Linked DNA regions of Mytilus edulis. The protein of the gene in region 4 binds, or shares a complex with, the protein of the main gene of each other region. Links are inferred from orthologs where the notes say so. Each region holds a gene or a part of one and is shown on either strand. Other genes may lie near its edges.

Region 1 (7,489 bases), on a different chromosome or scaffold from region 4:
AGTATGTGTGCCATACCTCATTTGATAATTGAATTAGATATATATAGCTCTTGCATATGAACAATGATGAATAACAAATTAGGTTATAATTAGATACATTGTATCACATGTTAATCGTATAAGGTACATTGTAGAAGATCCTAGTTACCAAAAATCAACATTGATTGGTTGCAGGGCTCACGCTACCAGGCGACTTGGGCGAAGAAGTCGCCTTCCCGACCGTCACTTCGCTTTCCCCGACCCCCAAAAGCGAAAACAAGTCGCCCTGTTCTTGACGACAGTCGCTTTCAGTCGCTTCCGTCATTGGACATTTTCAATTTTTACCAAGTTGATGAAACATCAATTTTTTACTGATAATTAAAGAAATTCAGACATAAACGATTCATTATCTTTAGAAAAGAGGTTGAAGCATTGTCTTCGCAATTTTGAGCAGGTTATTTGATAAAAATACAACTTTTTATCACTTCGTGCATTTCCGCAAGTCCCGCAACTTGTTGCTCGAAAACGTACATCAACCTAAATTTCGGCGGCAAAATAAGTTTGTTACTTCATTTAAACGTGATAAAAGTTGCATCCAGTAAATGTTTAATCCATTTATTGCATTAAAACCGTCATGTTCCTTTCCAAATAACTTGTCAAACATCGTTTATTTTTGTAAATTTTCTTGCATTCGTCCGCCATTGACCGATTTCTAAACTACGGATCTGAACCGGACCAGCTATGACCCAAATCCGTACTTTTACAATAATTACTACGGATGCACGGATTGAACAGCTGACAGAAGAATATTGATCCCAAAGGGGAAAATTACGTATTCCACACGCATAAGAGACTTTTGGTTACATCTAATTGATTGGTGTATATAATTCCCTATATTTTTTATGGATTGTTTCAAACTATTGATTAAAGTTGCTTAACTCTAGAGACTATTCTACTAATATCAATATATTATGGCCCAGCTTAATAACTTTTATATTTTTTTATGAGAAACACTGAATTTCATACACAAGATAATTTTTAATTAAATTGTAATTGATATATTATAATTTCTTTACATTTTTTAAAATAATTTTTTTTTAGTGCTAGATATTTAGTTGGTTAGTTTCTCACAAGAACATTAGTAAAACTTAAACAACTTTTATTTCAAATGTTACTTTAATTGTAATTTTTTACTCATATGAATTGAACAACATAAAAAGAACATTATCTACATATGGCCCTTTATACTATTGTAAAATCCAAACATTGTAGCGCACCGCGCGAATGAGCACTTCTCTTTCAAATCTCACCACTTCTCCCTATCAGTTTCAAAAAGAGAAGTCACTTCTCCCTATAATTCTGAAGTAGTGTGAGCCCTGGGTTGAAATATTTAAATGTCAATTGCAAACTTGCATTGAATGAAAGTAGATCTAGAATGTATTGAATGTTGAAAAAAAATAGATTATCTGGACTCAGAAAGGTCGTTGGTCCTAGCAAGCTAGCAAGGCACAAGAAAATGTAGAAAAAAACGTTTATATATAAGTGTACATGTATACAGGTAAGAATGTCTGACAAGTACAAAATGAGCGCAGACAAATTGTCCTGTTTTGAAAGAGCACTGTGAAAAAATTATCTAATGGTATTTATTATAAGGAACAGAATAAGGTAGCAAAATGAGGTACTGATTTGTCTAGGTCCCAAAATGTCTCCTGCCTTGTCAGACTGTCTATCAATCATGTCAACTAAATATGTCTCCTAGGTGCCAAACTGTCTATTAAACTTGAAGCTGAATCTTTGAGGTGTCAAGCACTATTGATTCGATCAGTAAGACTGGTTTCCGAGAATGTTATACCTTTTACCTTTTAAAACTACCTTACAAAGAACCAGTTAAAAATTATCTATTGCAAGTAAACATATTGAAGAAAACGGTTTTGCATTTGAATAAACAGAATACAGAAACATGTCAAATTAATAATTGTTTTCTTTTTTTTGTTTATAATTACCATGATTACTTTGTTCATCAAAGTTGAGGTAAATTTATTTTCTGCAGAATAATTGAACTTGTCCCAACGGACAATCTTGATACAGCTTTTACTTATCCGACCTTTTTTCCCTCTGGTACCGGACAATCGTTATTGTCGAGGCCTGTTGAAAGACTATTCCATTACGTTTGTTTGGGTTTTTGTTTGGGCATTTGATGTACAAATGATGTAAACAGGATAAGACAATGTAAGAGGGTCATAATTATTTGGACTTACAAACACGACAATGTCAGGACAGTAAATACTTCTCCTAAATTATACAGGACAATTGTTTCAGGTAAGAATGTCTTACCATTGCTATGTGTGTTGTGTGTTCCAGTTCCCGTGTCTTTGACGAGATAAAATGGACCTGAATGTATTACTGAAGGAACTCTCCCTAAGCTTATTGTTGTCTTCAGAGTTCCAGTCGAATCTCCTCGGGGGTATGCAGGTGATCTTGACCCCCGGGGACTGGATTTAGGGGACACTTGCTCTGGTCTTCGAATTGCCTCATTCATTGTCCACCATGTTTGATCTGTTCAATGCAATCTCGATTTTGATTGGTCAGAAAAACTGTGTCTAATTCAGGTGATTAACGGAGACGCACATGTCATCAAATATACGGAAAATATAATTAACACAGACTTTTATTAAAAAAATTAGATTAGACATCAAGCAAAGGCTTTAGGCCCTCTCCATAAAACAAGTACAATGTTTAACATTAAAAAAAATCACATACACATACATTATGATTAACGTTACACATTTTTTTCTTCTTCAAATACCACCTGTAGCTGACTGGAAGGATACTTCAAATAGCTAGACAGTCACAGTAACTCAGGACAAATATCAATATGCTGTGTGTATATATAAAATCTCAGCGATTAATTTATAAATCATTTCTATATAGAAGAGAAGAATCATTCATCATAGTGCAACCTGAATAAACAAATAAATAAATACGTGTGTAAAAATACAAAATACAAATCAGCCAGCCACTTACGTGTTTGTATAGTAAGACTCACTATAACTTCCTTGAGCCAGTCAAATAGGCTTATGATGCACATTATATATATTTGCATCATAAACCTATTTGGCTGGCTTTAGAGGGGACCGCGGGGGGAATTTGGGTTGATTATATAGGGAATCACTGAAGCATGACCGGACTGCGGGTCCCCTCTTAAGTAGTCATGCAGTGGGCCCCCACTTATGAAAATTTCTGGAGCCGCCACTGCATATATTAAATGTTAGATAACGTCATCATGGTCGTGTGATGCATGTTTTGATATCGTTTGAATTTTGAGATATTTATTGATATATATATGCTCTTATTTGTTACTGATAAAATCATATATAATTTTTACATTTTGGATTAAAGAATTTCGATTGATTTAATTTGATTACTAAACATCATATTACACATATTTTACAGAAAAATAATATAAAACACTTTATCATATTAAATTGTTTTGACAATAATCGTCTATTTTTATATATCTATAGTATTTGTTTATTAAAATCTATTATATCTATAAGTTAACACATGATGACATTGGTAAAATCTCTTTGTTCTTACTGTGCTATAATCTGGATAATGCACAGCAAAGGTGTGCATTGTAAACTAACTCAGACATACTTGTACGTAGTTTCAAAATAGGAAACAAATAAAGGTTCCTCATTTCTTTTCTTTTTTTTATATCCGTCAGCTGGGACATAAAATATTCCATCATATTTTATATACACGTGACAGCGTAAATCTTATATCTGTGTTTTAAAGTCAGAAAGATTGTTAATGTTTGGTAATTTCTGCCAAAAAAGATGTATCTAAGAATATTCGAATAACAGAAATCTGATTTGGATTAGTTTTAGACTAAATGGAATTTAGAACGTCTTTTTAAATATCTATTCCTATAAAGTGACTATTTTTGGGTCAAATTTAATGAGGATCATATTTAAGTTTGTTGTTTCAAATTATTATTTAAACGGGGGATTAGCTGGAGATCAATCCGTCTTCATTTAGATGGACGTGTCTTACAAATTAATATAGTAGATAAAAAGAAATTTGTGGGAATGGGGTAGTAAAAGTTTGGATAGAGAAACGTATTTTCTATTTTTTGAACATTTCAAATTTAGGTAATATAGAATCTTCCTCATTTCGTCTTTCTCTAAGCATATCATTGAGGGAAAGAAATTCAAAAGCAATTAATCCAAACTCAATTACCCTTTCAGTAATGATTTTTTTTTTTTTTTTATCTTTGGACAGTTATTTCAAATGGTTTGATAGTACAGTGCACTTGGCGGTTTCAGAATTTTTCATAAGTGGGACTCACTGACTGCCAAAGAGGGGGTCGCTCCAGTCATGCTCAGGGATTCCCTATAAAATCAACAAAAAAAATCCCACAAAAAAGGGGAGGGAGCGTATTTAGACAATTGCATTTAATGTATTTAAAGCCTTTCCTTCTGTTCTGTTTTATATTCTTTAACATTTTTTTTACAACTACACCCTTTCATTGACAATGGATCACGGCAAAATGCATACATTGCTATGTTACGTTTATATGTATGCTTCTCCCATCTACATCATGTACATACTATACTAGTATTACATGTATATATAAAAGGTTTAAAAAGGATGGCCACCCTAATTGGCAGTTCTTTAAAAATTAGTTCGGAAATGCTTATATAATAAATATACAGAAATATTAAGAATCGATAGAAAAATTAATTTTACGGTGATCGAAGTGTTTGATGTGTATCGGCTATGGGACAGCTGTTTCACATTTCATAGAGGCTCCATTCAGGCTTTATTAAATCAATAGATCAAACTGTAATCCGTCATAAACAAGGTAATTTCAGCGAGAAATATGAATAAATAAAATAATTTTCCCAATTTTTCCTCACCAGGTGTGCTTCAGCGACAGAAGTTCGGATGATGTCGCGTGCCACGTAGTCGCACTTTACTTTGAAATCAATTAGAAAAAGACAACTTAGTCACACGGAATAGGGGTTGAATTTCCAAGTACGACCAGAAGTGCGGACAGTCAAATCGGTATTCGTCACAAATGTTTGTTTTTATGCAAGGTATGGTATTTTTTTATTCATCTTAATGTATGAGAAAGTTAAATGTTTTACATAAAAAAGTGATGCCGGTATGTTGATTGAAATATATTTTTGAACAAATTTACCAATGGTATTTGTTATTTGCTTGAATTTATTAAATAACCAGTAATGCAAAAAGTCAGGTATAATTAATATCAAACAACAATTATTGTTTTGTTATGTGAGAGAAAAAGGGGGGATGCAATACAACTTTCTCAATATGTTTTTTGTAAAACTCTCAGTATGGTTATATTTTGTATATCTAAATACGTTCCGAATATGAATACAGCAAGATACATTATAAATGTAAATAGAAAGATTTGGAAATTGTAATTACTTTTGAATATTCCGTCATACATTTTTCTAATTTTGTTTCATTAACATTTTGAACATTTGTTTTTTTAATCAATTAATCTTTTCCTTTTATATAATTTTTTAATTCAATTTAATTCCAACATATTTTTTTTAATTTAAAATCATTTTCTATTACTTTTTTCGCAAACACTATATTTCGAGCTTACGGCTGTTACTACATATCATTCCGCGATTTTCAGATTTGCTTGATGTTTAGTTAGTAAATATGGACAATTTATTCTTGATTAAAAATATTAACTCAAAATATACATAGATTGTCAAGTTCAATTGTAAATTGAAAAGGGTGTTCAATTGTAAATTGAAAAGGGTTATCAAAATTTTTGTAAATTATGTTTTTTTTTAAATAATATACTCTTACTGTGTCCAATTTGCATTCGGAAAATATTAAGACTGTACCGTTTTTTTTCAATAGACAGTTGCTGTTGAGGATTAGCTGATACAAATCAGAAAAAAATTCTGAAGTGTTCAGCCATTTTTAAAAGGGAAGTTTCCTAATCTAGGATTTGGAGGGGGGGCAACAGAGGTTTTCCCAAGGAACTCTCCCCTGAATCTGCCACTTGTTTTCTAGATTCGACAGTGTAGACATTTAATCTTAAAGCGAGACAAACATTTTCATATTTGTAATGCTACCGTTGAAATATATATCAATTCTTTGAAGATTAGAATAAACATACATTATTCAAATAAGTAGCTTCCATAAAACACAGGCAGACTAGATATTGAACAAAGAGTGTGCGAAATATTCGTGTTCTCCTCGCAAATTTGGTTAAATGATCATTTATCAACAAATAAACTCAAACATCCTATATCGTGCGCATAAAAAAAAATCATTTTCTTTCTTGAGTCGATTGATATTTCGCAAGAAATTCTAGGCGAAAATTGTTCAAATATGAACGCATTCCACGAAACAGTATGTAGTTATCTCACTCAAGTATTACTGCTGTCGGTGTAAATGTGCAATGGTGACCGCAAAAAGTGAGTCAATTTATCAATAAAATAAAATATTTAAAACAATATTTTTATATTTTTTTATTGTTAATCTTAAAACTGAGTCTATCTAAAATTTGAAACATACTGAAATTAAGAAAAAATACCACAATTTAAAAAGTTTATCTCATCATCATAAAGAAAGCCTCTGCTAAATGTTCATAACATTATATGAAGGTTTGACACTGTAATTGAAGTGTAAAAAAACTTTAAAATCTCACTTTATATGTTTTGTTGGCTTTAAAATTAAGATAACAGATTTCCAAATGTTAATTTGGATATGGAATAGCTAAAAAAGCTTATCATAATCTGTTCAATTTTTTTTAATTATATAAACGAAATAATCACAGATTAAACCTAAACGTTGACGAGAAAGGTTCAATCTGTGGTTATTTCTTTTATTGACAGAGCCATCGCCACCGCCGACCACAAATCCCGATTGGCTATTATCTCTTGTTGGCGACATAAATGTCACAGCCTCGACACATTGTACCTAAACACATTGCACTCTTGAATAATTTCATCGATATATCAAGAAAACGCCCCCAGTACTCTGCAGTATCGATATCGAATTTCTATACAATATTAAATCCATTCATGACGAAACAATACTGGATATGTATTTCCCTAAGAATAATTTCACAATGTAATAACAGCTGCCACCATTAAACAAAATGAAATCTATTGCAACATATTGCAGTATGATTAGCGTCCATTTCTTTAAATTAATTGAAATACTAGTTATAAATTAAATGTTCATAGCAAGACATAAAAATAAAATAATATCTTCGATTTATGGATTAATGCTAAAATCATTATGGTAAATGACTGGGTAATATCATTTGTTAAAACTGTTACCCCTAATTTGAAAATGAATCAATCCACTAGATCAAGAAACTCTTCCCAATAAAAAAAAACGTGTGACCAGTTTTTGATTCTTTCATGATTTTATCAAAGTGTTCTACATACTTTGTGTTTTTCTGTAAGCCACTGGCTAGTAAATCAGTTCATACAAAGTGACAATCGTC
Region 2 (7,456 bases), on a different chromosome or scaffold from region 4:
TTTAATGTGTATAAGTCAGGCCCAGAAAACTGGGCATCCCAATTTTTAGTTAAGTGCAATAATCATTGATAATTCGCCGTTTCAGAATCTAATACATTCTTGGTAATATTTCCAAAAGCATACAGCAAAATATTGAGATTGGTTGACAACGTGATGAACAATAGAAATTCAACCAATGACGTAAAGTTATTTTCATTTTGGTGTACAAATAATGAGATTACCCATAGTCCTTCAGATTCTGAAAAGGCAAATTGATTCATATATTATAATAAATGCTGAAAATTATAGCCAATATAACTAGAAAATGATGTGTTGCCCTATTTTGCTTTAAATCAAGTCTTAAAAAATATACCTCTAGACAACTATAGAAGGATTATCCCTCTATACAGGTATAAATTTTACCATTAAAACGTTTAATCCCGCCTGTCCTAAGTCAGGAATCTGATGTACAGTAAATGTTGTTTGTTTATGTAATTTATATATATACAACAAAATAACATGTGTACTTTATTTTCTTTTGACAGTATTTTAAATGTAGAAGAATACATGTATAAATTAGCTCATGGTCTGTATCAGGGTTTCCGCTGGCGGTCGCCATTTTCGCAATTTGCGAAAAAATAATAATTGTGGCGATAAAAATTCGTCATTTGCGAAAGAATTTGGCGAAAGAAATATATAAACCGATTTATTTTCCTCCATCTTGTTTATTTACATTTTTTCGAGTTTCTCGGACTTTACCCGATCAGACAATACTCGGAATTCACCTTGACCTCAAAGATTTAGACAGAAAATCAATAATCAGCTGATTGCATTTTATAGCTATGGACAACAAAGGACTAATTAATAAAGGTGTTGCTTATATTGTTTCACAAAATGATATGGTCAAATGGCTTCCGCTATAAATGTCACATACAGAATTTATTTACATCTTTGCGACGCACGTGTTTGAAGCAAACTTTTGACATCTCTCCCTTTAAAGATAGTTTTGAAAAGAAAGCTGTTGTTGTGACAAAAGCAAGAAAAATCTCCGATTTAAAACTTTAATTCTTTTATCCTTTGACTTTAATAAAGTCGTTTGAGTGACACATGCACGTGTTTCAAGCATAGTTGTACGTCTCAACTTTTTCATTTACGATGGTCAAGAAAAGAAAACTGTTGTTATGAAAAAATCTATCCAAAAGGCTGGGAACAACCCCTCGAATGAGAGTTACCCTTCAATGTAATGACTACACATGAAATGAGAGATCAATTTCATGTGATAAAAGCTTTTGTTTTGTTGTAAAAATTACTTCTTAGTACAAAAGGGCACAACAGGAAAAATATATTTATGTTACTTGGCGAAAAAAATAATAAAGTGGCGAAAAATATATTGTTTTGGCGAAAGAGGTGGCGAAAAAAATAATTGACCCAGGGGAAACCCTGGTCTGTATATATGCTACAGAATAGATAAAATGTCTTTAAATTAAAAAATAAAGAATAGAAAATGTGTAATTGAATGAAGAAAACAAAATAAGTTGTTTAAATTTACAGAACAGTGAAAAACTGTATCAAAAGTGAAGAATACAGAAAAAGATGTCAAAAAGGCATCCTACCCATACTGCTACTACATGTACTAAGACCCTCTTTAACTCTTCCCATAACTCAAAAGACCTAAACACATAAATTCTACACCCAGAATTATGTAGACATATCGTAGACATGTCTAAAGTAGGTATCTCAATGATACGAAAAAGTAAAATTGAGTTATCTTTCTTTATTTGGGTGTGTTCCTTCATTTGAGGATTGTACACAGTACGTAGAAGAAGTAAATATGATCAACAATGGCAGCCGGATTTGATATTTTTGTATCATAACTGGCGTCAGTTAAAGACTAATTTCGTCTGAATTTGCTATTTTTTACGGAACAAGTAAAACGATATTTTAAACAAATTGATTTGGGTTTTCTTCTTCCTGTCAGTTACGCTTTCTTCATACAACTACGGTAAACATTGCAAATTGTGTTGTCTTATGAACATAACAACGTCGTAGGAAGGCGTCCAAAAAAAAAAAATTAGCCTTGCCAAATGTCATAATTTTTTGGACTATTAAACTAGCACCCTGCCCTTTTCAAATCCTGGCTAGAACACTGAACATATTAACCCTCGTCAGATAAAGATGAAAACAACATATTTGTGTTAGATGGTATTTTATTGTGTTAGGTGGTGTTCGGTTGTGTTCAGTGTTGAAAAGACCTACCAGGTTTATGCTACACCATGCATGTGGATATCTGAGCAATGAAAGTTTGAAGGCATGACAGGACTAAATATATAAAAGTTAACTTTTTTGTTTGTTTCAAGATATCTTAATCTTTTTTGGAATGATTTGAGTTGAGATTCTTATTTCAAATGTCAGTGCAGAAAAATGTAAAATGAACACCTCTAAGGGAGCTACCATTTGATTTTTATGGGGGGGGGGGGGGGGGGGGGGGAGGGGCTAGGATGAAAAATTTTGTCCTGCTTTTTGTTTTAGTGGTAATCTCTGTCCTGCCTTTTTATTTTTTACTCTATTTGGTCCTGCCTTTTTTTTACTAGTTTATCCTGACTTTTTTTACACAAATTGTCATCCTGTCTTTTTTTTTTTAACAAGTTTCTCATCCTGCCTTTTTTTTTTTACTCAAAACTCCTGTCCTGCCTATTTTTTTCAAATTTCATCCTTGCCCCCCATAAAAATCAAATGGTAGCTCCCTAAAGAAAAATGTCTATATGTCTCACCTATTCACAGTTATTTCGGTCGAAAAAGCCAAAAAGTTTTGGGGTGATAAAGAACAGCATGTCTTTTTCTCTGATATCCAATCTTTCTCTCCGCAAGGAACATCACAGTCCACCGTGTAAACTAATTCCATCCTTTTCCAATATTCAATTCCCTCCTGTCGATGTCAAAATTTATGTTTTGTATCCAACCAAATTTCACCTTTTATCAAGCACTTTGAAGACACAGACATTTTCTTTCTTTTACAAGTGCGTTCTAAATTTAGTCATAAGTTACCATTATAAAAAACGCGTTCGAAAATCTACGCTCGACAGATTTTTACCGTCTTTCATTTATCCTGGGACCACTGCTCTACAATAAAAGTATTATATTGGGCCAGGATGCTAGTCTTGTCTTGTCTTTTCTTGTCTTGTAGTAGTTCCACATTCACTATTGCAAGTTCTATCTAAAATGTTTTGTTGTTGTTTAGGAACAGTAATTTACTGAGGGGTGGCTGCCCTTAATCCCTTTCTATTGCTACTAGGCAATATCTATTTTCAAATCAGTGACAAACCCAAAGTAAAGGATCTTTTTTTATGATCGAGTCAGCCAAACAGACAAGTCACAGTAAGTTGCTTGCAGGAAGGATGGATATTTTATTCCTAAATCCAATAGAGCCGGGCCAAGAAGGCCGATATAAAAATTTGACATGTCAATAACATTATAATTTGAAATCAAGTATGGTTGTTACTCATGTTTTTGATATTTTCTTCTTAGAAATTCGACCTGAATCCTGTAGTTTTGTCCATGTGGTGCCAATAAAAATTTGCCCTCTAACCTCTTCTTTTGTTTTCATAATTTTATCACATCTGGTTTTAAAAGCCAATTTTGAAAATCTTATATGTAACCGGTTTTTTTTCCATAGTTTTTGAAAGAAAAAAGGTGCCAATAGTAAATGTATGCAAAATCCAGAGAGAATTATTTCCTACCAAACTTTTGATTATGTATTATTTGTCTCTGATGGCATACATCTCCAAAACAACAAACGAACCCTTCATTTTTTCTGCTTCTTATTTATATACTTTCAATTTAAAAAACAGTCTTTTAAAAAGTTTGTAATTTCAGTTTGAAACAGATTATATGAAAGATATGTATAAATAAAATTGAGAATGGAAATGGGAATATGTCAAAGAGACACTAGCCCTTCCAAAGACCAGAAAACAGCCGGCCAAAGTTTTCTAGCCCAGGTTAATCATGTTAACAGTCAAATGCATGTGATCATAAACAGACTGACTGACATGCTAAATATATATGTGGAAATGACTTTATCCTACCTGCACTAATAGCATAAACCGTTTATCAGCACAAGTAAGTAGAATGCAGTTGACACCAAGGGATGAATATTCTCATCTATAGAAATTAAAACAAAAATGTTTTTTTTTTAATATGAAAAAGAAGATGTGGTGGTATGATTGCCAATGAGACAACTGTCCAAAAGAGACCAAAATTACACAGAAATTAACAATTTTAGGTCACCGTACGGCCTTCAACAATGAGCAAAGCCCATACCGCATAGGCGGCTATAAAAGGCCCCGAAATGACAATGTAAAACAATTCAAACGAAAAAACTAACGGCCTTATTTATGTAAAAAAATAAATAAACGAAAAACAAATATGTAACACATAAACAAACGACAACCACTGAATTACAGGCTCCTGAATTGGGACAGGCACATACATACATAATGTGGCAGGGTTAAACATTTTAGCGGGATCCCAACCCTCCCCTAACCTGGGACAGTGGTATAACAGTACAACATAAGAATGAACTATAAAAATCAGTTGAAAAAGGCTTAACTCATCAGATGGACAAAAAAGTGGATATGGCCGGGTACTTTTACATCCCAACAACAAAAAGACAATAGGAACAGATCTGAGAGTACTCGCAGATAACTGATAGTCTAGTTCAAAGCCACTAACAACTAATAAAACAATCATGCATCTAAGACTAAATACATTTTTCATTCCTATTTTTAAAGGCCTATTTTGTGTTTGACTTAATTCAAGTTTATGCCGCAAAAAATCAAAATATATGTATGTATTTTGTATATAAACAATATGTTCTACACTACAAAGCCAAATCATATTCGCAGCTGTTTTGACGGGTTTTATTTCAATATTTCAAACATAACTGTTTGCAATTCCATATACATTTAATTTTTGAGGTACGGAAAAGGAGATGGACCACATCTTCAACCGATTGGCAGTTCATATATCAATATTCTGCTGTGTAGGGGGTGGGGTATCTTGCTATCTACCCATTTCTATTATGTGAAGAAATACATAACCGAATAAAGTTTCTTCTAATTTGAAACTTTTTAATCAATGAGAAACCAAAATGTACATACTTTTTAGATCATAGTTGTTAGTCTTATTTCACATCCCCTCGTTTATATTAATAGATATGATGATGGTCAAACATTTACACATTCATTTTATTTTTTCATTTTGTTTTGTTTTTGAAGTTGTATTAACAGATTTCAATTATGATAAATTAAGGTTTTTCCTCTAATAAGTAAGTAACGGGTATGTCTTTTTTTATCTTTTTCTGCAGGTATACATATGCGCACAATAACAATGATACATCAGCTATGATCAGATCTGTATGTCTATCCGGCAAATAAAATCGCACATCTTCATGCAAATAAATACCTAAAAGGACATGCAAATATTATGAAAGCATCCCATTCTTTATTTAGGTTCTCAATAAAAGAGGGATGGAAGATACCAGAGGGACATTCAAACTCATAGATAGAAAAAAAAAACTGACAACGCCATGGATATAAGTGGTACATAGTTGGTTCACATTGGAATTCCTATAACTTCGTGATATATGGTACCTACATCATACACACAATTTGTATCCATATTACAGTAGTTGATTATCCGTCAAACACATGTAATATTCAAATAAATTGAAGTTTATACAAGTGCCAGATTCCGCAAGTCAAGGATAGTCATGACGTCCCGTACGTTTTCTTAAAAATTGCGAATGTTTTTTTTGTTAATAAATTTTCAGTTCCTGGTGCGGTAGCTTTACGGATGCTTTTGAGAAAAGACAAAAGAAGAAGAAGAGCAAAAGGTAAAAAAAAAGGATGACATTTTATCTACGAGGCATCACTCGACAGATAAAGCACGAAATTCAATGACAGGTTTGCACATTGCCTTTACTAGTACACACTTCAATTTGTTTACAAGGTTCATTGTTATATATAATTTTTGTTTATAGTTGACAAATGGGCAGTCACTTACATGACACAGTTCCTTTGTTAAGAGATTTCCAGATATAAAAGTCAGTGGGCGATATATATTTCAGTTTATAGCTCCTTTTATAGTCTTTGCTTTATTTCTTCCGAGTTGACCTCCATCTTTTATTGGATATAAGTGTTTTAGAGTAATTCAGTTCAATATACAAATGCATGAGAGAATACCGTCCTTTATTCCACGGGGTTGAATGCCTCTACGGAGTCTATATGCACAATGAAATCCTGGAGTTAATTCCATTGTATTCACATGAAAATGTATTATTATTGTGGTGTTTTACTGTCCGGAATTTTTACGGTTTTTTTGTTATTGCATAATTGTCTCATTGGCAAAAATAACACATCTTCTTTTTTATATATATATATATTTGACACATCTGTGAAGGATATTTGACGCAACAGTCTTGAAAAGTCATTGGTATGATCAAACTCCTTGTTGTTCTTGTTCGATGAAAGTTGTTGATGTAAAGTCGACAACAACCCCTACAACCACCTTGTACAACATGATCAGTTGCAAGTTAATTCGCTCTTTTAGTTAGTCAAGTTTCACCATTCTTGTTGTTGAAATTTTTCCTTTGGAAGGCAATATTTATAAATGCACATTCTGTTCTATCGATGGTGTAACTACGGCTGTAATTGATTTTAAGTGCGGATGCTTCCCGGGTTAATTTACCACCATGTCTGAGTTGCCACCAGATAGTTAATTATTTGCGATTTCATGAGAAGGAGTGAAAGCGCGTGCATTTAGACATCACAGTCTTTAACTTTCAGATGAAATTAAATCGCGTAAGGCTTTCTTTATTGTATTAAATTTGTCTTCTTCGGATGATCATATAAGAATTTGTAGGAGTTTTGTGGAAAAATGTTTTTTGTTCTAGTTTCAAAGATACTATAGCCACCATAAAACTGTATAATTAATACTTTTTAGGAGTACACAAAACTTTAATGTACATACAATAAGTTGCTTCAAAGAAAATTGATATATACTGTACGACAGTACTGGAGTCTCATGCCATCTTCGATAGCAACTGAATGGTCTAGATCTTAACAGAAACTATCAGATATGTTGAAACATAAATGCAATTTATTTATAGGACATATATTTACATATAAAGTGCTTCATAAGCCTATGCAGGCTGATATCTGTATTGTAAATTGTATAATCATGTATATATTCAGGTTGCATTATAATAAACAAATACATATATGTGTATTTAATTGAAAATGCATATCCTCTGGCAATTAATGTTATTTTATGACAAAAACCATTATTAAAAACAATTTTCTGATTTTTTAAAACACAAATATTAAAAAATGAGGTTCCCCAGTTAGTATATCTAACAATTGTAATAATCTCAAAATTCGATCATTTAGCCATCTTTCTAATCACATGGATTTTATAAAAT
Region 3 (7,005 bases), on a different chromosome or scaffold from region 4:
ATCTACATTTTACCCCTATGTTCTATTTTTAGCCATGGTGGCCATCTTGGTTGGTTGGCCGGATCACGTCACACATTTTTAAAACTAGATACCCCAATAATAATTGTGACCAAGTTTGGTTTAATTTAGCCCAGTAGTTTCAGAGGAGAAGACTTTTGTAAAAGTTAACAACGCCGGACGACGACGACGACGACGGACGACGACGACGACGACGACGACGGATGACGACGACGACGGACGACGGACGCAAAGTGATGAGAAAAGCTCACTTGGCCCTTCGGGCCAGGTGAGCTAAAAAGGGCACAGTCCGCTTGAAAGTCCTTAAATGTAGCAATACGGGGTCATCCGTATTCTAACGGACTTGCTGACTATATTTTCTTATTGTCTCTTTTTAGATCAAATATCGAATTGCTCGAATATAAAATTACACTAATTTTAAATAAACATTTGACAAATTTGGTCTATTCACAAGTATTAATTAAGCTTAATGACATTGACTTTTTAAGTTCTATTTTACTTATTTTTTAGAAAGATTGTAACAACACAAAACAGTCATGATTGAAAAGTTATGAAATAAATTACAGAAATTTACATCATGACACCTAAGTTCATTTTCTATTCTCTTAACCCCGTCCGGACAATCAGAGGTACAAGAAGGTTAAAACCGAGTAAGCCGAAAGCTATAATTGTATACAAATACAAAATTTATTGTTCAGAAATAGATTTTATTAAAACAAATCTTACTTCAATTTCTATATAAAATGAAAACAAGTTATAAATTTCATGAGACCGAGGTACTTTCCTTCACACTTAAAGCCGAATATTTGAAATCTAAGATCTAATGATATTCTTAACAGTTGAAGGGCTATATGACCAAAAAGGACCTATAAAATATAGCCTGGCATGATACTACTTGTAATATTGTTAAACTATCTGGGCCTCTCATAAAGGTTAATAAACGATTACATAACTAGTATGGCTATACATATGCTTTCATTGTAGCACATTGCATGTGATGACAGAGCCCTGCTTCAGTGTGCAGTGTTGTCGTGTTCTTCTTATAGAAATACCAACATATGAATATATAGCAAAAAAAGGTTTTATTCATAGTCTACGGGTGCATCACTCGCACCACCATTTTTAATGTTCATTAGACCTTATATTTGGGTCAAAACTCTAATTTGGAGTTCAACTTCATCAAAAACTACCTTGACCAAAAACTTTAACCAACAAGAATGTGTCGACCCCCAGTACACGGATGCCCCATCCGCACTATCATTTTCTATGTTCAGTGGACCATATAAATGAGAGAAAATCTCTACGTTGGCATTAAAATTAGAAAGACCATATCATAGGGAACATGTGTACTAAGTTTCAAGTTGATTGGACTTCAACTTCATCAAAAACTACCTCGACCAAAAACTTTAACCTGAAAACTTTAACCTGAATCGGGGCAGACAGTCCAACGAACAGACGGACGGACGCACAGAACAGAAAACATAATGCCCATAAATGGGGCATAAAAACTTTTACCTGAAGCGGGACAGACGATCGAAGGAACGCACGGACGGATGCACAACATAATACATCTAAGTGAGGCATACAAAGCATTTGTTTGGGCATGTATCTGTATTTTCCTTATTTTATATCTTCATGAAATGATACTCATGCGCTAATGCATGCAGTAGTTGAACTTCAACTGATGCGTATGTGAATTAAACGGGGAAAAAGGATATATGATATATCCAAATATTTGCACTACCGATATCGATGAAACATGTATGTCCGTGTATATATCCAGATTGATTGATTGATTGTTGGTTGCTTAACGTCCAGTGGCAAATGTTCCATGCATGTTCAAGACGAGAACAACATCATATATATCCAGTGAAAAAGTGTTTACTGTCTGTCCTAAGAGACCAATAGATGACCACATTTTAAGGGTTGCTGATAAAAAAAAAAAAGGACAAATACCTTGCAGCAGAACGAAAGTAGAAATATTATATGTTATTCAGGTCTCAGACAGGGTATATACTGTGACATTCCCGGCTTAGAGTTTATATCCCCTGAGCCGAAGGCGAAGGGGATATAAGCCCTAAGCCGGGAATGTCACAGTATATACCCTTTCTGAGACCTGAATTACACATATATTACGGATTACCCCTGACTTAATGTTATTTTCCAGTGCAGGTATTTGTTGACAACACATATATATTGAAAAACCCAACCTTATATGTTCGGCATACGTGAAGGATTTTTTAATTTTCTGTGAACATAATTTTATCGTGTATGTAATAATTTATAATAACACTTTTAACATCAAATTAAAGTATTAAAAGTGTTAATTGCGTGATTTTGTATCAAAAATGTATTATTGACTGAAGCACGTCATTATTTTCCCTCTGTGAACCTCTGACAGTCTGATAGCTTATGACTACGTCACATAGTAACCGGTGTTATGATGACGTTTTTGAGGTTCCAATTGGGGATAGAAACGTAGTATATACCCCGGCAGTTTCCTGAATATATACTGACATCTCTGAGTTGTTATCCAATCAGAAACCTCGACACATTTGTAATCCGTAATATTATATGTTATTCAGGTCTCAGACAGGGTATATACTGTGACATTCCCGGCTTAGAGTTTATATCCCCTGAGCCGAAGGCGAAGGGGATATAAGCCCTAAGCCGGGAATGTCACAGTATATACCCTTTCTGAGACCTGAATTACACATATATTACGGATTACCCCTGACTTAATGTTATTTTCCAGTGCAGGTATTTGTTGACAACACATATATATTGAAAAACCCAACCTTATATGTTCGGCATACGTGAAGGATTTTTTAATTTTCTGTGAACATAATTTTATCGTGTATGTAATAATTTATAATAACACTTTTAACATCAAATTAAAGTATTAAAAGTGTTAATTGCGTGATTTTGTATCAAAAATGTATTATTGACTGAAGCACGTCATTATTTTCCCTCTGTGAACCTCTGACAGTCTGATAGCTTATGACTACGTCACATAGTAACCGGTGTTATGATGACGTTTTTGAAGTTCCAATTGGGGATAGAAACGTAGTATATACCCCGGCAGTTTCCTGAATATATACTGACATCTCTGAGTTGTTATCCAATCAGAAACCTCGACACATTTGTAATCCGTAATATATATATATACTTTGACAAATTTCACTTTAGTCTAATGTATGTTATAGCAATATTATATATATATATAGGGAAATAAACAAAACGGCAGAATTAAAGATGAAAAAAGAATTAATATAGCAAATATCGAATGAAATCTAAAAATTACCTTTTTAATTTGACATATTCGTTCTCGTGTGGTTTATCAGCTAGAAAGATTAGTATTCATGTGATCGTTTATAAACGGATAAAAAGCGGGAATTTTAAAATTCTGTGTATGCATTTACGAGTACGATAGTTAATTGATAGTGACGTTTTAGATATAAACATAATTATTCTTCGACTTTCTAAATTCCAGTCGCTATAGTTCTTTGCTATATATATTTCAGTATATAATATTAATTTATTTCCTTTATGCAAAAGGTTAACAATACTGGCGTCAATATTTGTATGATTTCGTGAGACTAGAAATCCTTGCGAAGATCTTTTAAGATTTCTAAGCACGGGGGAGGGGGGGGGGGGGGGGGTAGAAACCCAAACCCCCCTAAATCCGCTAGTGGGACAACAAAAATAATGAATAAAAAATAATGGGGTGCTATAATATGAGGTGATAACAAGGCTCCAAAATTAAACAATTCGGTAAAACATATATATATATCTTATTCTTATTCTTATATATATACACTGATTAAAGAAAATAATAATGTCCAGAATTTACTCCCAATTTCAGAGTAGCTATTCGAGTATTAAAATAACCGGCGTACTCCTCACCCCTATCAATAACCTTTGATTCCGTAACCGTTTGTCGTTGAAACCGAACTCGATTTCGTTTTTATATGGTTAGTACAGTTTCCGGTTTCAGTTTTGTTTTTATTTTCAGAAACTGAACAATGTATTTTGGTACAATTGCTTGTAATCGAACATTTTAAGGGTAACTTTAATACTTCAATATCACAAGAGGTTTAATCCTGATATAAATGATAGAGCACAATGTCACTCAAAGCAATAACAGTAGGGAAATAAGAATAAAAGGGCAAAATTATATATGACATCTATAATGATCTACATGTATAATAGCCTATATAAAAACCATTGTTGTAAATATGACATGTATGGATAAGAGTAAGAAGACATTGAATAAAAGAAAATAAATAAGAAAAAATGAAAAGACATTTACAACAAGAAAAAAGAGATAAGAAAATGCATACCTGCCAACTTTTCAAAATGACCATGGGGGTTTTGCATGCAAGATCATGAACATTGATGAAGATGGCTCCTATATCGCAATATATGTAGTCCTACAAAACCTTCAAGGGGGCCTTCAAATTCATTTTAATGTTGGTTTTTGGCTTCTGCATACTTTTACACGCCAATAGCCATTGTAAAATTCATTGTTTTGTTTAAAATTTTGGACAAAATTGCTATTTCAAAATTTACATTTTGGAGCTTCCATGGGGGAAATCCCCCACCAATAGTGACAGTTGGCAGGTATGAAAATGGAGGAACCATGCACCAAGTGAAGTACCTGTGCTCTAAAATTGAATGATAAATCATATGAGGCAGGCTTTATCTTGAACATGTTGAAAGGGGACAAATATTCTGACATTTTTCTAATTGGTCTCATCAAATTTTTGTGAAAGCTTACTAGTCTGAGAAAGGCGTCCCAGAAAAAAAATGAAGAAGCCTTGCCAGACGTCTTATTATTTGGACTAGGGAATTGGACTATAGTGGGTAACGGGTCAGACTGATATACACAAGACAGGAATATCATACATGTACTCTTTGTGCAGCTGTTTCTATTTACATGTAATATGAGGCAGGCATTACCTGTAAATGGGGACGAAGTCTGTATGAATTATTTTTTTTGAACCTTAAATATATTTGTTAAAAAAAAGAAACGGAAATACCGTAACGTTTCCGATTTTGGTTCTGTTGTTAGGTATTTTAGTTGTGACGTTATTTAAGTTATGACGTCATATGCAATGTAAACAAAGAAACGCTATCATCAGGTAATGTTTTTTTCATATCAAGGAATTATCAAAAATGAAATTGGTATTGCGTTCCTTCCTATTTTATACTAGACTGATAAATATATATTTTACTCAAAGTTTCATACAAATGAGACCAGAAAAAGGAAGTACATTGTATATTTCTGCACAGATGCGGGAATTCAAAACATAACATAAAAAAATTGAACGATTTTGAGTTCATTAGTACATATACTCTTTGTGCAGCTGTTTCTATTTCTGAATGTTAAAAGTTAAATTAGTTTTTTTTTCTCCAGAAATGAATAATTGTTGATAAATATGATGGATCCACAATTAGCACAAGCATTAAAGGCAGCACCAACCAATGAATACCTTCTACAAGGAAGCATTTTAGACAGTTCGTTAGAAGTCTTATTGTGTAGACTGAAAGGTCTTTGTGATCATGCTGATTCTCCTGAAGAAAAATTTGTAGATCATGAAATGGTGTATGCCATCAGTAAGTATTCAGTAAAATGACGGTAAATGTTGAATAATTACATTACATGTATGTTTCAATATATGTTACTTTAACTGGCTAACAGCAATCTGGAGTCATTCTGAAATTAACCTGAATTTTAAAATGAAAATCAAAAATGTAACATTTATGAAGACAGGAGCTTTCACAATAACATGCACATATAAATAAAAGAAAGTCTTGTTTTCATGATTCTAGAATTTTCTAGCAAAAGAATTTAATTATTAATATTGAATGCTTCTTTAAATAAGTTTATAGGGTTGTTGAAGTGTTGACTGTGCACATTTTTAGAATGAAGTGCTTCTGTGGCTCAAAGAAAATGTACCCCGGCCAACACTTTTACATCCATATAAATTTACAAAAAAAACATGTCATTCTTAATTGAATATTAGTTAAACTAAGTATAGTTTTACTAATAACAGTACTTAATGAGGAAGTAATAGTTATCTATTTGATACACTTGAGCAATATGCATGTTTATAATAACATAAAAAGAAGAAATTATGCTTGATTTATTTTTTTTAAACATTTTAATATAATATAAAAAAGAAGATGTGGTTTTATTGACAATGAGACATCTCTCCACAAGAGACTAAATGACAAAGAAATTAACCATTTAGGTTGTTGTACTGCCCTTAACACTGAGCAAAGCCCATACCCAATAGTCAGCTATTGAAGGCCTCAAAATTACAAACGTAAAAAAAATTCAAACAAGAAAACTAACAGCATGAACAGCCTAATTAATGAACAAAGAAAAGAATGAAAAACAGATAAAGTAAATTTTTAGATAAGCCCATCTGTGTGTTTTGTAAACCTAATACTATACTCTGAAATTGGTAAAAATTAATGCTGTGACTTGAATGGAGAGTTGTCTCATTGGCACTTATACCCCATCTTCTTATATCTTTTAACTGTAATCATCAAGTCTTGTTTTGCTTTAATCTTTTCTTTTTATTATATTTCAAATCAGAGAATGCCAGCATTCCTCAGCCATTACAATATAGTGTCAGACATTCCCTGGTTCAACCAGAAAACTGGTAAGTCCCTGTCCAGTACTCATTGTGTTGTTGGCGGTATGTTTTTTCTACATGAGGTATAGGGGGAGGTTGAGATTTCAAAAAACAAGTTTAACCCAGCTGCAATTTTGTGCTTGTCCTGAGTCAGGAGCCTTTGTTAGTCTTATATGAATTTTAATTTTAGTTTCTTGTGTATAGTTTGGAGTTTAGTATGACTTCCATTATCACTGAACTTGTATACATATTTGTTTAGGGGCAAGCTGAAGGACGCCTCTGGATGCGGGAGTTTCACTCTATATTGAAGACCCTTTGGTGGCCTTTGGCTGTTGTCTTC
Region 4 (7,599 bases):
TTTTTAATTTAGAAATGGATGTTAACCAAGCCCCTAATTTGCCAGAAGAAAGCTTTTTTTAACAGGAAAACTCAAATCAACTTTAAATACTTTTTTTTTTTTAATAATTTTAAATAATTTTATTTTAAATAATCAAAAATTATTGGTGAAACATTGAACATTATTACCCTTTCACAGAAAGCTAACATAGGATGTACATATTGTATATAGTTGTAAATATTTATTTGTGTTCTTTTTTTCATTTTTATAATTATTGGTCAGTGTTCTCCTTTTTTCACTAAGGTAAGGTGGGTGTTTTGAAAAAAAACACTTGCAACCGGTTGATTTTTTTAACATTTTCAACCGGGTTGATTTTTTTCAGTTTTACTGTGGGTTCGGGTCACAAATAGAATGATAAATATTGTATTTACATTTAATGGAATTGAACCATTCTTCTGCTATCACTGCCAGCCTTTCATTAAATGATTTGACAAAATAGTTTTGTGCATTTCGGATAGCAGTTCATAATTGCTTTTGCAGGACTCCCTCCTCCTACGAAATCTGCTAATGCATGGCCTATCGAACCAAGTTTCTGTCCTGTTCCTTGCTTTGGTGCTGTTTTGGCACACAGAACAGTAATATCTTTCTGTGACGATATCCATTGAAAGTCCTGTTCATATTTATCACCACCCCTCAAATGAGGGGTAATCTCTCAATTTAATGACTATCCCTTTTATGAGGGGTACATTTAAAGAGAAACAAATGAGCACATATTTGTTTTGGGCCTTTTTATCTCATTATGGACACTCTTGTAGAAAAGTTGTACCAAATAAAACGATTTCCCCCCTTTTAAGGTAATAAATCTAAGTTTTTCTTTTTCTTTTCTTCCGAGTTTCTTCCACAGTAATATGACCCCTTTCCTGATGGACAGTCCCTCATTTGAGGGATATCCCTCATTTTGGGATTGTTCCCAACCTGTTTATCTTCGCGATCACCTGTGTGCCGATTCTGTTGTTTTGATACTTTTTTTTCAATTTCAACAATTTCAATTCAACTATCCGTTTTAGTTGACTTATATGGCTTAGAATTTTTCTGGTCATCTGCCTTTCTATTCCCCTGATTAATAAAAGAAAACATTGAAATTTGACAATCCGCCATTTTTGTCAATGAAAACAAACTGCGAGGCGCGATTAGTATTTAAATTTTTATGGTGCGGAACCGAAAAAAATCCGGAATTTGAAAAAAAAAGCCGACCACCTCCTAAAATGGAAAGGTGGTCGGCACACCCGGCTTAAATGCTGAATGGAAAACACTGTTGGTGTTGGTAATGCAGCCTTGGTAAACCAAGACAGTCACAAGCCTGTTTAATGCAGAGTGTCCATACCGTAATATAATTTCATTATCTCTTAATGATTAATTATGTAATGGGCACGTGTCAGTAAACAACAACCGAATTAACAATATAACAGAACTTTGATATTTAAGATATATCCATTGGACTCACTACCAACGATATGCACAGCACAAATGTCTTCATGGTTTTTTATACAAAATTATAGTTACTTGTAAAAACATTTATATTTGCCAATGAAAATCTTTAATTTAGTTTTGAGAAAATTTTATTAGAACAAACATACGAATCATCCATTCAGAAGCTTTGTTTTTATTAAAAACAATCAAGTATAATAATTTTTTAATTAAATTTGAATTGAATATGTGAAAATTCTTAATTACATTTTATTTAATGTTGAGTAAATTGTTATGAAAAGTAATTAGTGATTGGAGTAATTGCATTGCTTTGATGTACTGGTTAAATTTTCAAATCCTTTCTGAAAAACAATCATTAGACAATTCTCTGTACATAAATGTATATACAGTAAAATATTTAATACTATATTTTCATAGCGTTTTCCTTTGAAGGCATATGCAATCTTTCTTTTATTCATTCTATACGATTTCCTTGGTCGCCATCTTGGAAGTACACACCAATATCCATAAATTTTGGTGATCAATATTAACTTACCTGCAACTTGTAAATCATTTTTAGGTTATAAAATACACTTCTTATATAATTTTATTCAATAATATATGTTTAAAAGTCACTCAAATGTGTTAATATTGATATTTGAAGAGTTATTCGGTCATTACATGTGTTATTCGGACAATAACAGTGTTATTCGGTCATTCGAGGTACCGAGGATTTTGCTGTGCACTTTTTTTCATTCCTCCAGAAGGTGCCAAAATAAACTAAGTTGGGAAACAGGTTTGAGAACTTCCCCACAGGTAAAAATTAAAGTGAGTATTTTTAATTGACATGGACATTAGATGGACAATAGATACCTGACAATAATTGGTTATTTAAACTGTGTACCTGAGTGGACCATATCAAAGTAAACTCAACTGATTGTTAATTTTATCATCTTCTGCAGAGACGAAAAAAAGTGTACCGCAAAAATCCAGTTAAGTTATGAATTTTCTAAATCATACAATGCATTTGAATTCTATTTATCTAGGGCATGCTATGCCTTAAAACTTTTCCAGATGCACAGGTTTGCCTGTACTCTGAGAAAATTTTGAGGTGAAAATATGGCCATTTTAGCAATAGGGTCCACATGAACCTTAACATGTACAAATTATGTATATTGATGTACATTTTTGTATTATATTACAAAATAGCAATAACCAGTTTAAAAATAAGCCTGCCTTTACATCATATAAGGAAGGCTAATCTACCATAAATTAACATGTGTCAATTCTGCTTCTAATGGTACCAAGTTACTTAAAATCAAGTAACAAATTTACCCCAAAAATTTAGTTTTCTGTGAAAACATCTCAAGAAGCGAATACTTATGGCCACACTCTGTATATTTAACTTACTAGTATATCATTGAATACGTCAAAAACGACATCTTCTATGGTTCTTTGTGACATTTTCTTGTTTCCTGAAAACAATTTACATTAGATTATAAAAGAAAAAGAAAACAATTTTGTATTTTCCTCCATGGACGCCGCCATTTTCTACAATTCTAAAGTAAAAAGCAACGTCCGAGGGAGAACGAGAAAAATCCGTTTAAGGTACAGAGGTTTTCTAAATTAAAATCGATAGATTTTTTGAAGAATTTTCAAAGATGTATTGAATATTATATCCGGTTTTTTTTTAAATATTAAAAAATATGGATCTTAGGGTTCCCTTTAAAACTCGAAAAATATGTCTGTCATCCGGGATAGAGAGACAACAAAAATGAGCGATATAACCTTTTTAAAAGAGATTTCTAATAATGTGCATAAAGAAAATAAAAAAAAATGAGTCACAGGACTGTTTTCAAGCTGCCCCCCCCAAAAAAAACCAAACGTAAGTGAGTAATCAGTTTATCTTATTTTTACACTGATGAGCTCAAATGAACTAAGTATTTGATGATCATTCGCAAACCAACACACTGATTCACGGTGGGGCGTCCGCCAATAATTTAACCCCGCCAAATTCAATAAAAGTGTCTGTCCCTAGCCAAGAGCTTGTAATACAGTGGTTGTCGTTTGTTGCTGTCTTTATCATATTTGTAGTTAGTTTACTGTTTGTTTAATACTTAAACCAAGTCGTTAGTTTTCTCGTGTCACTTTGATTTGTTTAACATTTCGGGGCTTCTTACAGCTGACTATGTAAAGGGTTTTCTCATTGTTGAAGTCCGTATAGGGATCTATTATGTTGTAAACGTATGTCACCTAGTGTTTGGTGATCTTTGGTGAAGAGTTGTCGAATAGGTAATTATACCACATCTCAGTTCAAGGCTTATTTTTGTACTTTACAAAAAAAAAACACATACAAATCATACAAGCAAGCCAAGAATAAAACGCATACACACAAATAAAAGCCAAACAGAAAAAAATGAACAAAAAAAATAAATAAAATGATTGACATACTGCAAAGCAAATACCCAAATATCGTCATAAAATAAAGAGAACAAGACAGAACAGAGCTAACTAAATATTCATGCAAAGCTTAACAACACAAGATACTAGAGAACAACCACATTTCTGCCGATAAACTACGGTCTTAATGATATAGTTTTATACTACGCTTGTGATAATTATAAATTATAAGAAATGACTGTAATATTTTTTCTGTCTATTCGAAATAACATAAAAAATGTGTTGCACACTGTTATATAACCCGCTTTGTGCGTTATTCAGTGTGCACCAATCTTTTTATGTTATTTCTTCATAGACAGAAAAAATATTACAGTCATTCCTTATTAATAGAATTGAACTTTACAAAACCGTAGTCAGATTTGATAAAAAAAATGTTGTCTTTTCTTTTCTATTCATTTTTTTTAGAAACACTAAGAAATCTGAGCTCAGTTTGTCAAATATGAAAATCATAAATTTTCTTAAAGAAAGAATGGATTATCCCATTCCTTGGTACAACTGGGATAAATATTTTTTTTTGTATTTATAATAAAATAGATTTACACCTACTTAATAATTACATTTCTGACGTCAAAGTTAAATAATTATAGATTAATAGCAGTCATTTTGATTTCATCTTTTATCCTATTATTCCAAATAAAAGAATTAAATCACAGTGTAAAACCAATCACTTTTAGTATCTTTTTATACAAATAAATACTTTCTGGTCAATTTCAATTCATTTGATGTTTAAATATTAAAATGACATGTTAAAAGACCACATACAGATTTTCCCATAAAACCATCGGAATGTACATACTGTTTCTTGTTTCGATTGTTTTACTGCAAATATATGGTAAAGTTAAAACTTTATTTATAACAAGTGTAATTTAAAACAAACATTCACCGTGTCTTATAATTTAAGGAATGACTGTAATATTTTTTCTGTCTATGAAGAAATAACATAAAAAGATTGGTGCACACTGAATAACGCGCAAAGCGGGTTATATAACAGTGTGCACCACATTTTTTATGTTATTTCGAATAGACAGAAAAAATATTACAGTCATTTCTTATAATTTAATTTTAAATTCCATAGAAAACCATGAAAAAACGTTGATGACGTCACGGTCACATGACTGAATTATGTCTATGGGCTGATAACAAAATAACGTCAGCCAATCAGAAGACGCGTTACATCCAAAATTAAATTATTAAAGAATATTGAAAATGTATGTTTTGAAAAATTTAAGGAAGAATGGTATGACAAGATTATGTCAGATGATAAAAATAAGTTACGTACATATAGAATTTTCAAAAATGTATATGGCGTAGAAAATTATTTAATTTTTAATAATCCAGGTAGATACAGGAGTGCTTTAGCAAAATTTAGATGTGGTGTAGCACCCTTCAGAATTGAAACTGGTCGTTATGAAAATATTGATATTGAAAATAGATTATGTTTTTAACTGTAATGATGACGTTGAAGATGAAAATTAAAGATGAAATTAACATGTTTTGTTATATTGTTCTGCATATTCATATATTCGTAATGTTATTTTTAACCATGCTAGTATTGTTGATGAGATTTTTTTTTACATATGTCTGATAATGAAACAAATATATTTCTTTTTACAAATGAAAATATGGTATTTTATACTGCCAAAATCTGCTATGAAATTTTAATAAAGCGTAAATGTATTTTATATCATGATAGTTGACTTAAGCTGTATTTGTATTATAATTAATGAAAAATTGTTTTATATATAGTCTCTCATAACTCTTTATAGAGTGGCTCTTGTTGTTAATTTGTGTTTTAAAAAGCTGTATATTTTATATGTAACAAGTGGTGAAAATTTAATAAAGTATGTGTCTTGTCTTGTCATGCTACGATATCATTCCACTCATTTTTAGATTATATGCAAATTTAATAGGTATAGCAAATATTGGATTTATATGAGTCATTCCGTTTTTTGTGTGTGAATCATTTAATTAGCATCATACACTCCTCAATGCGCATCACTCCCATTCATGTCCAGTGAAGGATGTTTATTCAATATTGTCGACATCGCGATATCTACAATGTTAACACGATATAGTGTCAACAATGTTTATATTGTTTGAACCCTTATATAATGTATACATCGTTGACATCGTGATGTATACAATGTCAAAATGATGTTGTGTTAACATCGTTTACATTGTTTGAACCCTTATATATTGTTTACATCGTTGACATCGTTAACATTGCGATGTATACAATGTAAACACGATGTCGTATCAACAACGTTGACATTGTTTGAACTCTTATATATTGTTTACATCGTTGACATCGTTAACATCGCGATGTTTACAATGTTAACACGATGTCGTGTCAACATCGTTTACATTGTTTGATCCCTTATATATTGTTTACATCGTTGACATCGTTAATATTGCGATGTATACAATGTAAACACGATGTCGTGTCAACATTGTTGACATTGTTTGAACTTTTATATATTGTTTACATCGTTGACATCGTTAACATCGTGATGTTTACAAGGTTAAAACGATGTCGTGTGAACATCGTTGACATTGTTTAAACTCTTATATATTGTTTACATCGTTGACATCGTTAACATCGCGATGTACACAATATTAAACCGATATCTAGTCAACTTTGTTAACATTGTTTGAACTTTTATATATTGTTTACATCGTTGACATCGTTATTATAGCGATGTATACATATAAGAAGATGCGGTATAAGTTCAAATGAGACAACTTTTTATTTAAGTTACATCTTTTATAAGTATACCCCTATAGGTTTGACATTAATACGGAGTTTTGGTTTTTATCGAGTAGCAAGCTATGAAAGGCACAACAAAACACTAGTGTAAAACTATTTGAACAGGAAAAATAAAGGTCTAATGTAAAAAAAACATGAAACCAGAAACACGTATGAACAATTCAACAAACGACAACTACTGAACGACAGATTCCTGACTAAGGACAGGTGCAAACAAATGCAGTTTGTTTAACGTTTATATACGTACCATAGACTCAATATAAAATATAAACACGATTTTGACACAATATTGTTAGCATTGTTATGTGAACAATTTAAACAGAAAGGTATTTATAAAAAAAGAAGTGGTATGATTGCAAATAAGTAAAATTTTCAGTACATACATACTAACTGGCACATCTATAGATAACCGTATGGCCTTTAACATTGAGCAAAGTTTATATGGCATAGTTAACAATAAAAGACATGAAAAATGGAAAACAATTTTAACTATATAACTAACTGCTTAACCATGTTAACTTATTTTAAAAAAAAGAACGAAAAAAAATGTATATATTACAACAACAAGATGTTGACACTATATTGTTAACATTACGTTGTATACGATGTGAACGATGTAAACAGAAAGGTATAGACTTTATATATACAATATAAACACGATGTTGACACAATATTGTCAACATCGCGATGTATACGATGTGAACGATGTAAACAGAAAGGTATAGACTCTATATATACACGATGTTGACAAAATATTGTCAACATCGCGATGTATACGATGCGAACGATGTAAACAGAAAGGTATAGACTTTATATATATATATATACAATATAAACACGATGTTGATACAATATTATCAACATCGCGATGTTTACGATGTGAACGATGTAAACAGAAAGGTATAGACTTTATATATATAAATACA

What was found.
Region 1: mediator of RNA polymerase II transcription subunit 23-like (region 4) and mediator of RNA polymerase II transcription subunit 19-like share a complex: the UniProt entries of both Drosophila melanogaster proteins name them as parts of the mediator complex. The link is inferred for Mytilus edulis from reciprocal best matches to the Drosophila melanogaster genes MED23 and MED19.
Region 2: mediator of RNA polymerase II transcription subunit 23-like (region 4) and mediator of RNA polymerase II transcription subunit 16-like share a complex: the UniProt entries of both Drosophila melanogaster proteins name them as parts of the mediator complex. The link is inferred for Mytilus edulis from reciprocal best matches to the Drosophila melanogaster genes MED23 and MED16.
Region 3: mediator of RNA polymerase II transcription subunit 23-like (region 4) and mediator of RNA polymerase II transcription subunit 18-like share a complex: the UniProt entries of both Drosophila melanogaster proteins name them as parts of the mediator complex. The link is inferred for Mytilus edulis from reciprocal best matches to the Drosophila melanogaster genes MED23 and MED18.

What each region holds. Positions count from the first base shown.
Region 1 is NC_092349.1:32,000,304-32,007,792, reverse strand, and holds the start of mediator of RNA polymerase II transcription subunit 19-like, read right to left. Parts: upstream 3,024-7,489; 5' UTR 2,519-3,023; coding exon 2,314-2,518; intron 1-2,313. UniProt on the Drosophila melanogaster protein: Component of the Mediator complex, a coactivator involved in the regulated transcription of nearly all RNA polymerase II-dependent genes.
Region 2 is NC_092351.1:6,236,220-6,243,675, reverse strand, and holds the start of mediator of RNA polymerase II transcription subunit 16-like, read right to left. Parts: upstream 3,006-7,456; 5' UTR 2,882-3,005; coding exon 2,751-2,881; intron 1-2,750. UniProt on the Drosophila melanogaster protein: Component of the Mediator complex, a coactivator involved in the regulated transcription of nearly all RNA polymerase II-dependent genes.
Region 3 is NC_092350.1:56,520,300-56,527,304, forward strand, and holds the start of mediator of RNA polymerase II transcription subunit 18-like, read left to right. Parts: upstream 1-3,981; 5' UTR 3,982-4,084; intron 4,085-4,797; exon of another isoform or gene 4,798-5,001; intron 5,002-5,281; exon of another isoform or gene 5,282-5,437; 5' UTR 5,438-5,459; coding exon 5,460-5,637; intron 5,638-6,625; coding exon 6,626-6,692; intron 6,693-7,005. UniProt on the Drosophila melanogaster protein: Component of the Mediator complex, a coactivator involved in the regulated transcription of nearly all RNA polymerase II-dependent genes.
Region 4 is NC_092344.1:94,866,849-94,874,447, reverse strand, and holds the start of mediator of RNA polymerase II transcription subunit 23-like, read right to left. Parts: upstream 3,023-7,599; 5' UTR 2,911-3,022; coding exon 2,857-2,910; intron 1-2,856. UniProt on the Drosophila melanogaster protein: Component of the Mediator complex, a coactivator involved in the regulated transcription of nearly all RNA polymerase II-dependent genes.